Linked DNA regions of Canis lupus familiaris. The protein of the gene in region 2 purifies or fractionates together with the protein of the main gene of each other region. This does not show direct contact. Links are inferred from orthologs where the notes say so. Each region holds a gene or a part of one and is shown on either strand. Other genes may lie near its edges.

The links.
Region 1: the proteins of RPL7L1 (region 2) and REXO4 purify together in Homo sapiens (affinity purification with mass spectrometry; 3 studies listed by BioGRID and IntAct, with this or other methods). This does not show direct contact. The link is inferred for Canis lupus familiaris from reciprocal best matches to the Homo sapiens genes RPL7L1 and REXO4.
Region 3: the proteins of RPL7L1 (region 2) and PES1 purify together in Homo sapiens (affinity purification with mass spectrometry; 4 studies listed by BioGRID and IntAct, counting the BioPlex papers as one, with this or other methods). This does not show direct contact. The link is inferred for Canis lupus familiaris from reciprocal best matches to the Homo sapiens genes RPL7L1 and PES1.

Annotation. Positions count from the first base shown.
Region 1 is NC_049230.1:49,885,764-49,888,989, forward strand, and holds part of REXO4 (RNA exonuclease 4), read right to left. Parts: intron 2,700-3,226; coding exon 2,562-2,699; intron 2,332-2,561; coding exon 2,138-2,331; intron 847-2,137; coding exon 758-846; intron 1-757.
Region 2 is NC_049233.1:11,631,516-11,635,731, reverse strand, and holds the start of RPL7L1 (60S ribosomal protein L7-like 1), read right to left. Parts: upstream 2,944-4,216; 5' UTR 2,678-2,943; coding exon 2,637-2,677; intron 2,023-2,636; coding exon 1,914-2,022; intron 1,231-1,913; coding exon 1,067-1,230; intron 57-1,066; coding exon 1-56.
Region 3 is NC_049247.1:24,078,722-24,083,029, forward strand, and holds the start of PES1 (pescadillo homolog), read right to left. Parts: upstream 2,846-4,308; 5' UTR 2,759-2,845; coding exon 2,735-2,758; intron 558-2,734; exon of another isoform or gene 543-557; coding exon of another isoform or gene 150-542; exon of another isoform or gene 135-149; intron 1-134. Other genes in the region: 40S ribosomal protein S24-like, read right to left, coding at 150-542. UniProt on the Homo sapiens protein: Component of the PeBoW complex, which is required for maturation of 28S and 5.8S ribosomal RNAs and formation of the 60S ribosome.

The DNA.
Region 1 (3,226 bases), on a different chromosome or scaffold from region 2:
CAGCTCATCCTACGACCTCAGGAGAGGGCTGGACACAAGTGCGCCCACGTCACCAGAGATGGGGCAGGCACAAAGGGGCTGCAGGACCAGTAGGGAGGTGGCCACTAAGGGTCTGTAGCACCGCATTGCAGTGGGCAGAGGACCTGCCAGCAGTTTCAATACTTCAAAATTTCAAAAGGCAACACAGGCTGACATTCCAGCGTGCCTGAAATGTCTGAGAACCCCAGGGTTCCATGGAAACGCCATGCCCAGAAAGGGCAGCCTCCCACTCTGCCTGCCCTGCTGCTTTCATCTAAGGTGGCTCAGTTCCTCCCATAGCAGAGACCCTCAAGGAGCAGAGGCTGGATGTCACAGCCTCTGGGGCACCAGAAGTGGCCCCTTCTGGGGAGATAAGAGGAGCCCCAGACGGCCCAGTGGCTGTGGGGGGAGTGGCCCTAGGGGACGCTTCCCCACAGACGGCGCTCTGACCTCTGTGGAGTCCCAGGCCTGGCCAGTTGGGTGGAAGCTGCAGAGGCAGCAGCCTGGCTCCCCTCCATGTAATGTGCTTGAGCAGTGGGCATGTCGCATAACCCACAGCACCTTGCTTCCAGCGCCTACAACAGGAGCATGAAGGCCTCAGACGCCTTTTAAAGAACTGAAAAATGCCTAGCACTACTCCCAGGACGGGGGAAGAACTCGCTAAGTTGCACCTGGTACTGTGACTATGGCCTACAAGCCCCTCCACGGCATGAGGCGTGCACGCAGCAGGCGGCAGTACCTTCAGGTCGTTATGCAGCGCATGTCCGACCAGAATGCGGCCCTTCAGCATGTCTGCCACCTCCTTCTGAACGACTTCGAATTTTTCTCCTGACAAGCAGAACGAAGAAGTGGTTTTTAGCAACGTGGACGAGGGTGGGCTTTCAGAAGCACTCAGGGCCACCCAACAATAATTTTAACTGTTGAATCTTGTAAGAATCAGGCTGGGATTTCAAGCTTTCCAACTGGAAATAAAAACAAAAATGGTCCTTTACCACGGATGGTGAGGAGTGCTGCTCCAGACACTCAGCCCCACAGGGAGCAGCGTGCCTGCTCTCCTAGCAGATGCCCTTGGGGTCACCCCGCCCCCTCCTCCAAGGGAAGGGTCGGGTCACCCCGTGACCCCGCCTGTCCCCAACAGAGGAGATGAGATCAGGGGCAGCCCACCTTGAGCAGGACCTGTCAGGGCCTGGAGCTGAGGGGCTGGTCAGGCTGCAGCACCACTTGTTGGTTGGATGTACAGAGGGAACCTGAGAGCTGCAGAAAGGAGACTGCATGGGGCAGAAGGGACAGTGACCTCGATCCTGAAAGCTTCCAGGACCTCTCCAGGTCCCTAACCTCGGAGTCACCCTGGGGGCCTTTCTGTTCTTCCTCCCCCACACCCAATCCATCAGAAAACCTACAGACTCTGCCTTCAGGGTGCATCTGGGTTCGGGCCGCCCCCCCACCAGGTCACCACTAGCACATGCCTCCTCTTCCTATTTCCACCCTCATGGGCCTAGGAGTCTATTTTCGACACCACAGCCAGAAGGAACCTGCTAGAAGCTGAGCTGGGCCTCTCACTGCTCAGACCTTTGCATGGCTTCCGAAAATCCTCACAAAGACGAGACCCTGTAGGGTCTACCTGCTCTCCTGCCCCCCTCACCAGCATATACTCTCTGGGTGACACAGAGGCAGGGACACAAATGTGCCCAAGAGCCATCTGAAAATGGGTCACCCCTCGGGACTCTTGCTGTGGCGAATGCTCCCAAAAGAAAGGGGACATAGAGAAAAAGAGGGGGTACCTGGCTGGCTTGGTTGCTGGAGTGTGCAACTCGATCTTGGGTTCGTGAGTTTAAGCCCCACACTAAGTAAAGAGGTTACTTAACAAAATAAAAAGGGAGAAGGGAGGGCAGCCCGGGTGGCCCAGTGGTTTAGCGCCTGCCATCGGCCCAGGGTGTGATCCTGGAGATCCAGGGTTGAGTCCCACGTTCGGCCCCCTGCATGGAGCCTGCCCCTCTCTCTGCCTGTGTCTCTGCCTCTCTCTCTCTCTCATGAATAAATAAATAAAATCTTAAAAAAAAAAGGGAGAAGGGACTCAGGCATTGCTTCTCCTCTGTGCTCATGAGCTGGGAGGACCCACCCTGCTTGAGGTTTTCTGGCCGGATCCCGCTGACCGCCGTCCTGTAGTCCGTCACCGGCTGGGTGGGCTTGACGTACTTGTCATAAACACACTTCCCATATTGGTTCACAATAGACACTCGGGCAGCGACGCTCTCTTCCCCCTTGGGGCCCGCGCCCACCATCTCACAGTCCATGGCTAAGGCTCTCGTCAGGCTGAAAGGAACCAAAGATTCCAGTTTAACCAACACGGCAGGACCCAGCAATCGGCACCTAAAGTTCTCCGCCCCTCACCACTGCTCGAGGGACCAGCTCTCTGCGCTCAACGCTCCTCGCAGGACAGGGTGGCGCCTGCCTGATTCAAGTCGGGGAGGACAGAGCTCCTTCCCCAAACCCTTGCCCTTTTGGGCTCAGTGCTGCCAGGGGCCCCGGCCCTGTGTGCATACCCGCCGAAGGCCTGCTCCTTCACCAGCGTGGTGCTGCTCTCGCTCTGCCCCAGCTGCTGTCTTGCTATCCTGGCTGCTTCTGGGCCCATGGCTGCTTCAATATCCGCGGGGTCAACATCATCAAACCAGATGTCTTCTCTAAAAGGCAGAGAACAGGGACGTCTGGGTGGCTCAGTGGTTAAGCGTCTGCCTTTAGCTCAGGGCGTGATCCTGGAGTCCTGGGATGGAGTCCCACATCAAGCTCCCTGCAATGGAGCCTGCTTCTCCCTTTGCCTATGTCTCTGCCTCTTTCTGTGTCTCTCATGAATAAATTAATAAAATCTTTTAAAAATAAATAAATAAATAAAAAGGCAGAGAACAGGCCAGGCACGCTGGTCAGTGGAGGTGCTGGTACAGCTGGGGGTGGGGGGGGGGCACCCAACGGCCCAGCTACTCCTGCTGTTTGCCCAGCATGGCACCCTGCTTTTCTTTTTAGTTACAGGATGAGCTCATTATCCAGAAATTAAGAACTACAAGTAAACAACAAGGACGTCAATTACAAACATACAACCCAGGTATAATGAGTACTAACTTTTTTCCCCCCATGTCGAGGAAGTAGTAGGTTCATCATGGAACATTTAGTAAGGAACATTTCCAAGGAGTAGGAAATGGAAACCCAGACATCC
Region 2 (4,216 bases):
TCTTCAGGCGCAGCCTTGCAATGGTCCTCTGTACCAGTGAACTCACCCCATTAATCCTGAAATGAACAGCAGAGGACGTCAGGCTTTATTCAGTTTACGTAAGGCCAGCAAGCAACTATAAAATGTTTGCCACTACAGGGCATCAAGAGAGCAAGACACAGACTATGTCTAACAGGTCAGGAGGTGGCAGCTATGTAAACAATCATTCTCACATGATGTGGAGCAATGCCTGAGGTGCTATAAGAACACAGAGGGAGGCCCTGATTCAGTGTGTGTTGGGGGTGTGTGAGTGTGTGTGTAGGGCTGTGAACGTCAAGCAAAGGAAGCTGGACTTGCTGCCTGGGCAGTAACAGCACAAAGACTTTAGGGAAAGGAAACACAATCACCTTTCTTCTTTATGATCACTGAGGAGAGCATATAAGACAGATCTGAAAGTGTGACATCAGAGGCAGGGAAACTCAGGAAGCTAATGCGACAGTCCAGGAAAGAAATTATGAGAAATGGTAGGAAGGTTAATAACGAGGACTCAAAAATATTTAAAGCACACACTTTTCTGGTTTGGGTGCCTGGGTACTGGAAAGAGGGAGGCAGCTGTACATGCAGGTAGACTGGGTAAAGTACAATTAAGTGAGAAAAAAGCTTTATGAACTCTCCCCAGCACTAAATACGTTCCATTTACTTGACCTTGGTTCAGTTCCTAGAAAGAAGCCTTGATTCTCTCAATTCAGGACTTTCTGCATCTATGCCTGGAAAGCCTTCCTTGAAATTTGTGAATTCCTTCCATGTTTGCAGGTCTCAGCTTCAAGGCCCTGTTTTAGAGTGTCCTGAACCAGTACTGCTCCAACAACAGTCAACCTTCACAGCACTGGGTGTATTTTCATGTCTGTTTGCCTAAGGTCACTCTCCTAAAACCTTAAAGACAAAAACCACGTTGTGCTTGACCCTGAATTCCCAGCACAACTTGCCCGAGTGGCTTAAAGCCTATTATAACTCACTTCCCCCAGAAAGGAGTCTAAAGCTGAACCAACAATTTGCTTCAGCCTTGGGAATGTGGCAAGTTCCCCACCTTTGGATGCGTACAATGAAGGCCAAGGAATGTTTATCTGGCACTTCTAAGCCATGAGGTTTCACTTCCAGGCGTCTGAGGCGCACCCTGTCACGCTGCTGCCGCCAGGAATCATGAAGGAACCACTCCAGTCGCTTAAACTTGAGCTTTTTTCCTTTATTCTGCTGAAAGAAGGGAGACCATCATCACCATTTTGTGCCTCTATTTTTTACTTCTACAATAGTAATTCATCAGGCACTCTCGATTGAATGTATTTTCCATTATGTCCCGCAAACCTAAGCAAACAAACACCTTCTATTCTATTTAAAGGAAAAATGAGGTACCCAAGTGAAGATGGAAGTGTGAAAACTCTGAAACTCCTAGGAAAAGCCTCTGATAAATAAACAAGTTAATTTACATGCTGTTAGCCAGCGTTTACCAACACATATTTATGGAACCTAACATTGGGTTAAGCATCATGAGGTACAGAATAAGCATGAGCTTGTTTCATTTTCCTGACTTCAAAATATCTGTTTTCCAAAAACGTTTAGCAAATAGCAAAAAACTGTTTGGCACCTTTAAGTATAATATTATTTTCTTCCAGGTACACAAGCATGTGTGGTCTTTCAAATCACTTGGTATGAACCTATAGTACAATCTCCACTCCACTTTTTCCTTACCAAACTCTACTGCATTTTACCTGCAGAAAGCGTTTCATAAACACCTGTTAAACGAAGACACGAACCGTACACCTGTTAGAATTGATGGCGACAGCACCGTCGACGACGCCAAATCTAGTTTAACACACCCTACACAGAACTCACCAAACACACATTCCAATTCCCCTCTCTTGGTTCCCCATCATTACCTCCTTCTTGTCCAAAAGCGCCTGCTTTGCTTGAGTGGCTTTAAGGGCCTGATAAGCCTTCCTCTTTTTCAGGAGATTTTCTGGAACCAAAGGGATCTTTTTTCTTTGCCTGATAAGAAAATCGCAATCAGCGAAAGTGTCTAAAAAGCAAATCATAAATGAAATTCTGAATCATCTCTTGGGCTTCGAGAAACCTTACTCTCTTCAAATTCCTAAAGCCAGACTTCCCTGAAACCTGTGGTTTCTGACTTCAGTCCTCAAGATGGACCCCTTAACGAGGGAACCCTCGTTCCTAAAGCAGTGAAAGGTCACGAACCCTGGGGCCACTGGCCCTCCCTAGGCCTCCATGGAGCTTTTACTGCCACAGCCTTTTAAAGACACTAGCAGCTACGTGATTCTAGAGAAACCCCGAGGGGTTAGGATGGGTGTAGACTCATCTGCAGGGGTAGTACTTGCGTCAGGCTGAGCGAACCCAAGTCCGGCACTCTTCAGCCCGCCGCCGCCGCTCCAGGTAACTCGGGCTTGACGGCGGCTTCCTCCGTCTGACCGTCAGCCCGAACCCTACGGCTTTACTCCTCATCCCACCCTTTGAAATCTGGAGTCTTTTCTCTTGTCCTTCCTTCAGTCCACAAGAACCCTTCTATTCGCGCCGCGGAGGAATAAACACCGTGGATGGCACCAGATGCTCAAGACCCCACTGAGATTCAAAGCCCGAACACTCACTCTTGCTCCGCCATGTTTCCCGAGCAGCGGCTACTGCTCATGCGCAGCCCCACCACGTGGGGGAGAGAGGACCGCTCTCGGTTTGCTTGACCATAGAGATGGGTCTTCTAGCCCTCGGAGGACCGCCCCCGACAGCTGGCGCCGTTAGCTGCCGCTAACACAGATTCCGGCCGAAGTTGCACAGAGCTTCCAAGCACTTTAGGATCCGTGTCATCTTCATAAGCCGCTCTCTTCGTTTACTATATTCGTTGAACACTGGTGGCAAGGCTTATAAACAAGGAAACGCTTCCCAAGTTGCATCTGCGACTTCCGGTGTGGAGGGCGCGCCGCTCCTCCGACTTCCGGTTGGCGGCGCGAGTTCGAGGAGGACTGGGGCGGCCCGGGTGGCGCAGCGGTTTAGCGTCGCCTTCAGCCTGGGGCGTGATCCTGGAGACCGAGGATCGAGTCCCGCGTCGGGCTCCCTGCGTGGAGCCTGCTTCTCCCGCTGCCTGTGTCTCTGCTTCTGTGTGTGTGTGTCTCTCATGGATAAATAAAATCTTAAAAAAAGAGAGAGGACGACAGGCTGGCATGATCGGCTTTTTGCTGGGTGGGGAGGGCTGGGGCCGTGACTTTGGCTCGTCCGTGTGGGTGGAGGTGTTCGTGGACGACTCCGCACGGTAGACAGTCAGTGGGTCCCGGAGCAAGTTATCTAACCTCTGTACCTTGGTCTGCTCACCCATAAGATGGACCTACCCAATAGCGTTCCGAGGATTCTGTGAAATACTCCATTTAGAGAGCTTAGCACGATGCCTGGCGGTAAGCAGGCAAACGCTATGTTGGATTGAATAGAAATTCCTCCTTGCCCGTTTCGGGATCTTCTTTATATACCTCTCAACACCCGGAATTTGCTTCCTTCTTTCCCGGTCTTCATTAAACAAGGAAAAATAGCCCACGTTCTGTCTTCTGGAAACCCCCAGTGCAGGGTGTCTCCAGCATTAATATGCATCGTAGTCACCTGAGGGTCCCGTTAAAATGCAGATTTTCATTCACTAGGAGGCCGGGGGTTGATACTGTGCAGTTTTAGCCTGCTTCCCGGTGATGCCATGCTTCAAGTCTATGGGCTGAACTTTAGCAAGACTCTAGTGTCTTTCTCTGAATTCCTTCAATACATTATTATATTATATATATGTTTTTAAGATTTTATTTACTCATGAGAGACACAGAGACATAGAGGGAGAAGCAGGCTCCCGTCGTGGAGCCTGATGCAGGACTGGATCCTAGGATCTCGGTACCAAGACCCCAGCCAAAGGCAGATGCTCTACCACTGAGCTACCCAGGTGCCCCTCACACATTATTATATTTTAAACATTTCCTCATGATACTAGGAGGGCAGGGACCATGCCTGCTTTGCTCATGGTGGTTGCTAAAGGTCTAACAAAGGTTTCTCAGTCTTAGCCCTGTTGGCTTTTTTGGGCCAGATAATTCTTTAGTATGGGGGGCTGTCCCATGCATTGTGGGATGTTTAGCAGCATCCCCAGGCTTCTACCAACTACATACCAGTAGTATCCGCACCCCAGATGTGACAATGTCTCCAGGCATTG
Region 3 (4,308 bases), on a different chromosome or scaffold from region 2:
TCTAAAGAGAGAAACCTATAGCCCCTTGAAAGTATGTTTATTTTTTTTTAACGTTCTTAGTTTATTAATCCTCTCATGAAAAATCTGCACGATCACCACAGATAAAGCCACTGCAGAATCTTTACTCCTTCTGTTGTCCAATCTCCAGCTCACTTTTTGCCAGCACCAACGTTGGCTTTTGCAGTCGCCCTGACTTTCTTCATTCTGTTTTTGTGTTCTTTGCGCTGTTTTCTTGAAGTCTTTTTCTTCTCATACAAGCCATGTTTTGCAAGTCTATGTTTGGGTTCATTTTTCTTTGCATAATCCAAGGAATCATAAATCATGCCAAAGCCAGTTGTCTTGCCACCACCAAAATGGGTTCTGAATCCAAATACAAATATGACATCTGGTGTGGTCTTGTACATTTTGGCTAGTTTTTCCCAAATTTCTGTCTTAGGTACTGTTGCCTTCCCGGAGAGAAGAACATCAATGACCATCTGTTTCCGCTGAAGCAGTTGGTTGGTCATGAACTTCCTGGTCTGGATAGTTACTGTGTAGTTCATGATGGCGGCCGAGCTTCAAGCCGAAAGTATGTTTATAACCCTTCGCTGTCTTACTGCTACCTGTCACAAAATACACCATTTATTCTTTCCTCCAGACATTGTTTACTGGAGATACAAAGATGAGCTTCAGTCTGTCTCAGAAAGCTAACTGTTCATTAAAAGTGTTTCCCATAGCCTTACATCACATATGTGTCTGTCATCATGCTTATTATTTTAAATATCAAGTGGTTAAGTAGTTCTCAACTGGGATGGTTTTACTCCCTGGCTGTGTATGGGATGGAGGGAAGGGAATTAGGCATTTTGGATTGTTGAGTGCCATTGGCATCTAGTGTGTAAGAGGTCAAGATGTTACTAAACACCCTATGATGCACAGGACAGCACTCTACAACAAAGCATTATCTGGCTCAAAATGCTTGTGAAACCCAGCATTAAAAACTGTCATGGGGACGCCTGGGTGGCTTAGCGGTTTAGTGCCTGCCTTCAGCCCAGGGTGTGATCCTGGAGACCTGGGATCGAGTCCCACGTCGGGCTCCCTGCATGAAGCCTGCTTCTCCCTCTGCCTGTGTCTCTGCCTCTCTTTCTCTCTATATTTCTTATGAATAAATAAATAAAAATCTTAAAAACAAAACAAAACAAAAAAAAACCTGTCATGATCTGAGGTGCCTGGGTGACTCAGTCAGTTAATCATCTGCCTTTGACTTGGGACATGATCCAGGGTCCTGGGACAGAGCCCCATGCCAGGCTCCCTCCTCGGCAGGGAGCCTGCTTCTTCCTCTACCTCCCTGCTCATGCTCTCTCTCAAATAAGTAAAATCTTAAAAAAAAAAAAAAAAAAAAAAAAAAAAAAAAAAACCCTGTCGTGGTTTGTATACATAGCTGCATCCATGCTGCAAGGGAAGATTATCCATCTTATTTATTTATTTTAGAGGGTTTTATTTATTTATTCATGAGAGACACAGAGTGAGAGGCAGAGACATAGGTGGAGGAAGAAGCAGGCTCCTTGCAGGGAGCCGGTTGTGGGACTCAGTCCTGGAACTCCAGGATCATGCCCTGAGGCCGAAGGCAGATGCTCAACGGCTGAGCCACCCAGGCATCCCTCCATCTTATATATTTGTAATTCCAGACACTAGCACTTACTGGTTGTTCAACAGCGTGCTGGGTTAAACATAAACAACAGAAACTTACAATCTGAAGGAAACACGAGGCAACTGCATCTTCCTCACTTTCACCCCTTCCCCAATCTTTTCATACCACTAAGGTGATCCTCCATACAGCAACAAACAAATCTTTGAAAAAACGACCATGGTACTTCCCCTTTAGTTGAAGCTTTCTGCACTTGGAATAAAAACCAAGCTCCTCACGTTGGCTCCCAGGCCTTCCACATCTGGTCCCTGTCTAACCTTAACCTCAACAAATGCCATTCTTCCCTTGGTTTACCATACCCCAACCACCTTGATGTCCTTCTAATTTTCTGCACACAGAAAGCCTTTCCCACCTAACAGTCTTGCTAGGGAGTTTTCCGTCAGGTTTGCTCGCTAAGAACTCCCAGGCCCCAGAACCCATCTGAGATCTTCTGATCTTTCGGATTTCAGCCCAAACGTTGAGTTAGAGAGACCTTCCAACACGACACTAACCGACGTAAGTATTCTTCTATATTCTCCGCTCTTCTCTTTCATATCACATTTAACAATCTGTGATCGTTTCATTTGGTTGTTCAGTGTTAACCCTCTTTCCTCGCTAGAAAGTGAGCTCGGGGAAGGCAGGGGCCACATCTGACTGTTTATGTTTCCCTCCCCAGCATCCAGGGCAGGTTTAACAGGGAAGGGAATAACGAGTTTTGGAGATCATCAACTTGACGGAATAGTAAAGTTTACGTAACGTTTATTATTGTTTCAGTAAACAGTTGTCTTCCGGCCCGGTCTGCATTTGGAGTGAAGCTTTCCTTCGCAACTCCCAACATTTACAGCCCTACTCCAAGGTTCTTTCCCGGACTTCATCGGACGAGTACTGCCACCCTCGCCCATCCTCGCACCCTTTCTCATAGTTGCCTCTCATCGCATAGGTCACAGCCGTTTCTGAACACCTGAGGGGCCACGGCCGGGAAAGGTCCAGTCCCCTGGCTCCCTCGCTCCCATCTCCCGCCCGGCCCCCCTCTCCCCAGCGCCACCCCGCCGGGGATACCGCCTCATTCACCTTCTTCTTCTCCAGGCCTCCCATAGCTCCACGTTGAAGGGTCTACCAGCGCCGCGCGGACTGACAGCGCCACTTCCTCTCGCACGTGCCCTGCCTAGGGCCCCGAGGCCCCCACGCCGCGGGCCTTGCGGGCTGCCCGATGATGTGCCTGAACGAGTCTTGGGAAATATTTGGCTTTCCTCCTCGAAAACTTACAACTGAGCTTTCTGAAAAAGATCACCGAGGCCTCTCTTTAGAGTTCTTTCTCGTCTGTGAACATATGACAGTCAGTTTTCATGTTTAAACGAACACAGATATTCAGGCGTTCCTATAACCATCCTGGGGACGCTCGCTTGATTTTTAATAGAACCCCGTTGCATGTTGGGATGCAGGGGGGCGGAAGGCTTGGCGACAGCGCAGTACCTTCTGGGATGCAGACGACAGCCTCGCTGGGAGGTGCGCGAGCGCCGGTCGTGTTGTCACGGTAACGGTTGCTAGGCACCGTGGGAACGAGGCTCCTCCCGAGGAAAAGCGGCCGCCGGGGGCGCTGACTGAGGCTGGGTTGTGTTTTCCGGGGGCGGCCGGGGGCTTTGCCTTTGGTTCATTGGCTCTTAGGGGGATGAAGCAGATCAAAAGCAGAATTTTTTCCTCAGAGAAGCATGGTAACCCTAGAGGCCACTTTTCTGTCGCGAGCCTTAGCGGTGAAGTGACAAATGACAAAAGGCGAAGCAGAGCTATAGAACTCTGGTATATATATATTTTAAAGATTTTATTTATTTATTCATGAGAATGAGAGAGAGAGAGAGAGAGAGAGAAAGACCTAGGCCGAGAGAAGCAGCTTCCCCAGGGGCGCCTGACGCCCTGAGCTGAAGGCGGACGCTCAACCACTGAGCCGCCCAGGCGTCCCTGTGGTATATTTTAAATGTACATTCAGCATGTTTGAGCTTTACTTTCCATATTGTGTTCCTCAAAGGATAATTATGAGGATTATACAAATCTTCACCCCACCTTTGGATGGTGTGTGATGTGGAGACCAAAGGCGAAAGAAATACAGGAAAAAAACCTAAATTTCCGTATAATGTACAGCCCATTGACAAGTACTTGGGACAGACAGGGTGACCTTCCTCCAGGAACTCAGCTGCCTCAACGTTAACATTTTGCTAGAGGCAAAAAGGCAACCTTAGGGACGCCTGGGTGGCTCAGCGGTTGAGCATCTGCCTTTCACTCAGGGCCTGATCCTGGAGACCCCAACAGCTCACATCATTTTGCTGTCCCAACATGCAGCCTGGGTCTTCCTCATCTGGACTCCGAGCTTGGGTGCAAACTTGCTAAGTGCTTTCTCTTCTCTTCCTTTACTTTCATTTAAGGGCTTTTCAAGGAGTATGGTCTTACTGGAACACTTTCACGTCGATTGCTCAGGCTGCAATCTTCTACCTTGTGGCAGCTCTATGGGGAGGAAAAGCCTGCCTCTTGGCTGGAAGTTTGTCCCCTGGCCCGAATGGTAACAAGACCCAGAAACTTGATGTCCTCTCTTCATTTCTGTCCTTATACAAAATTGTCTTGGTCGTGGGGGAGGGGGGGGGGAGGCATGGGAC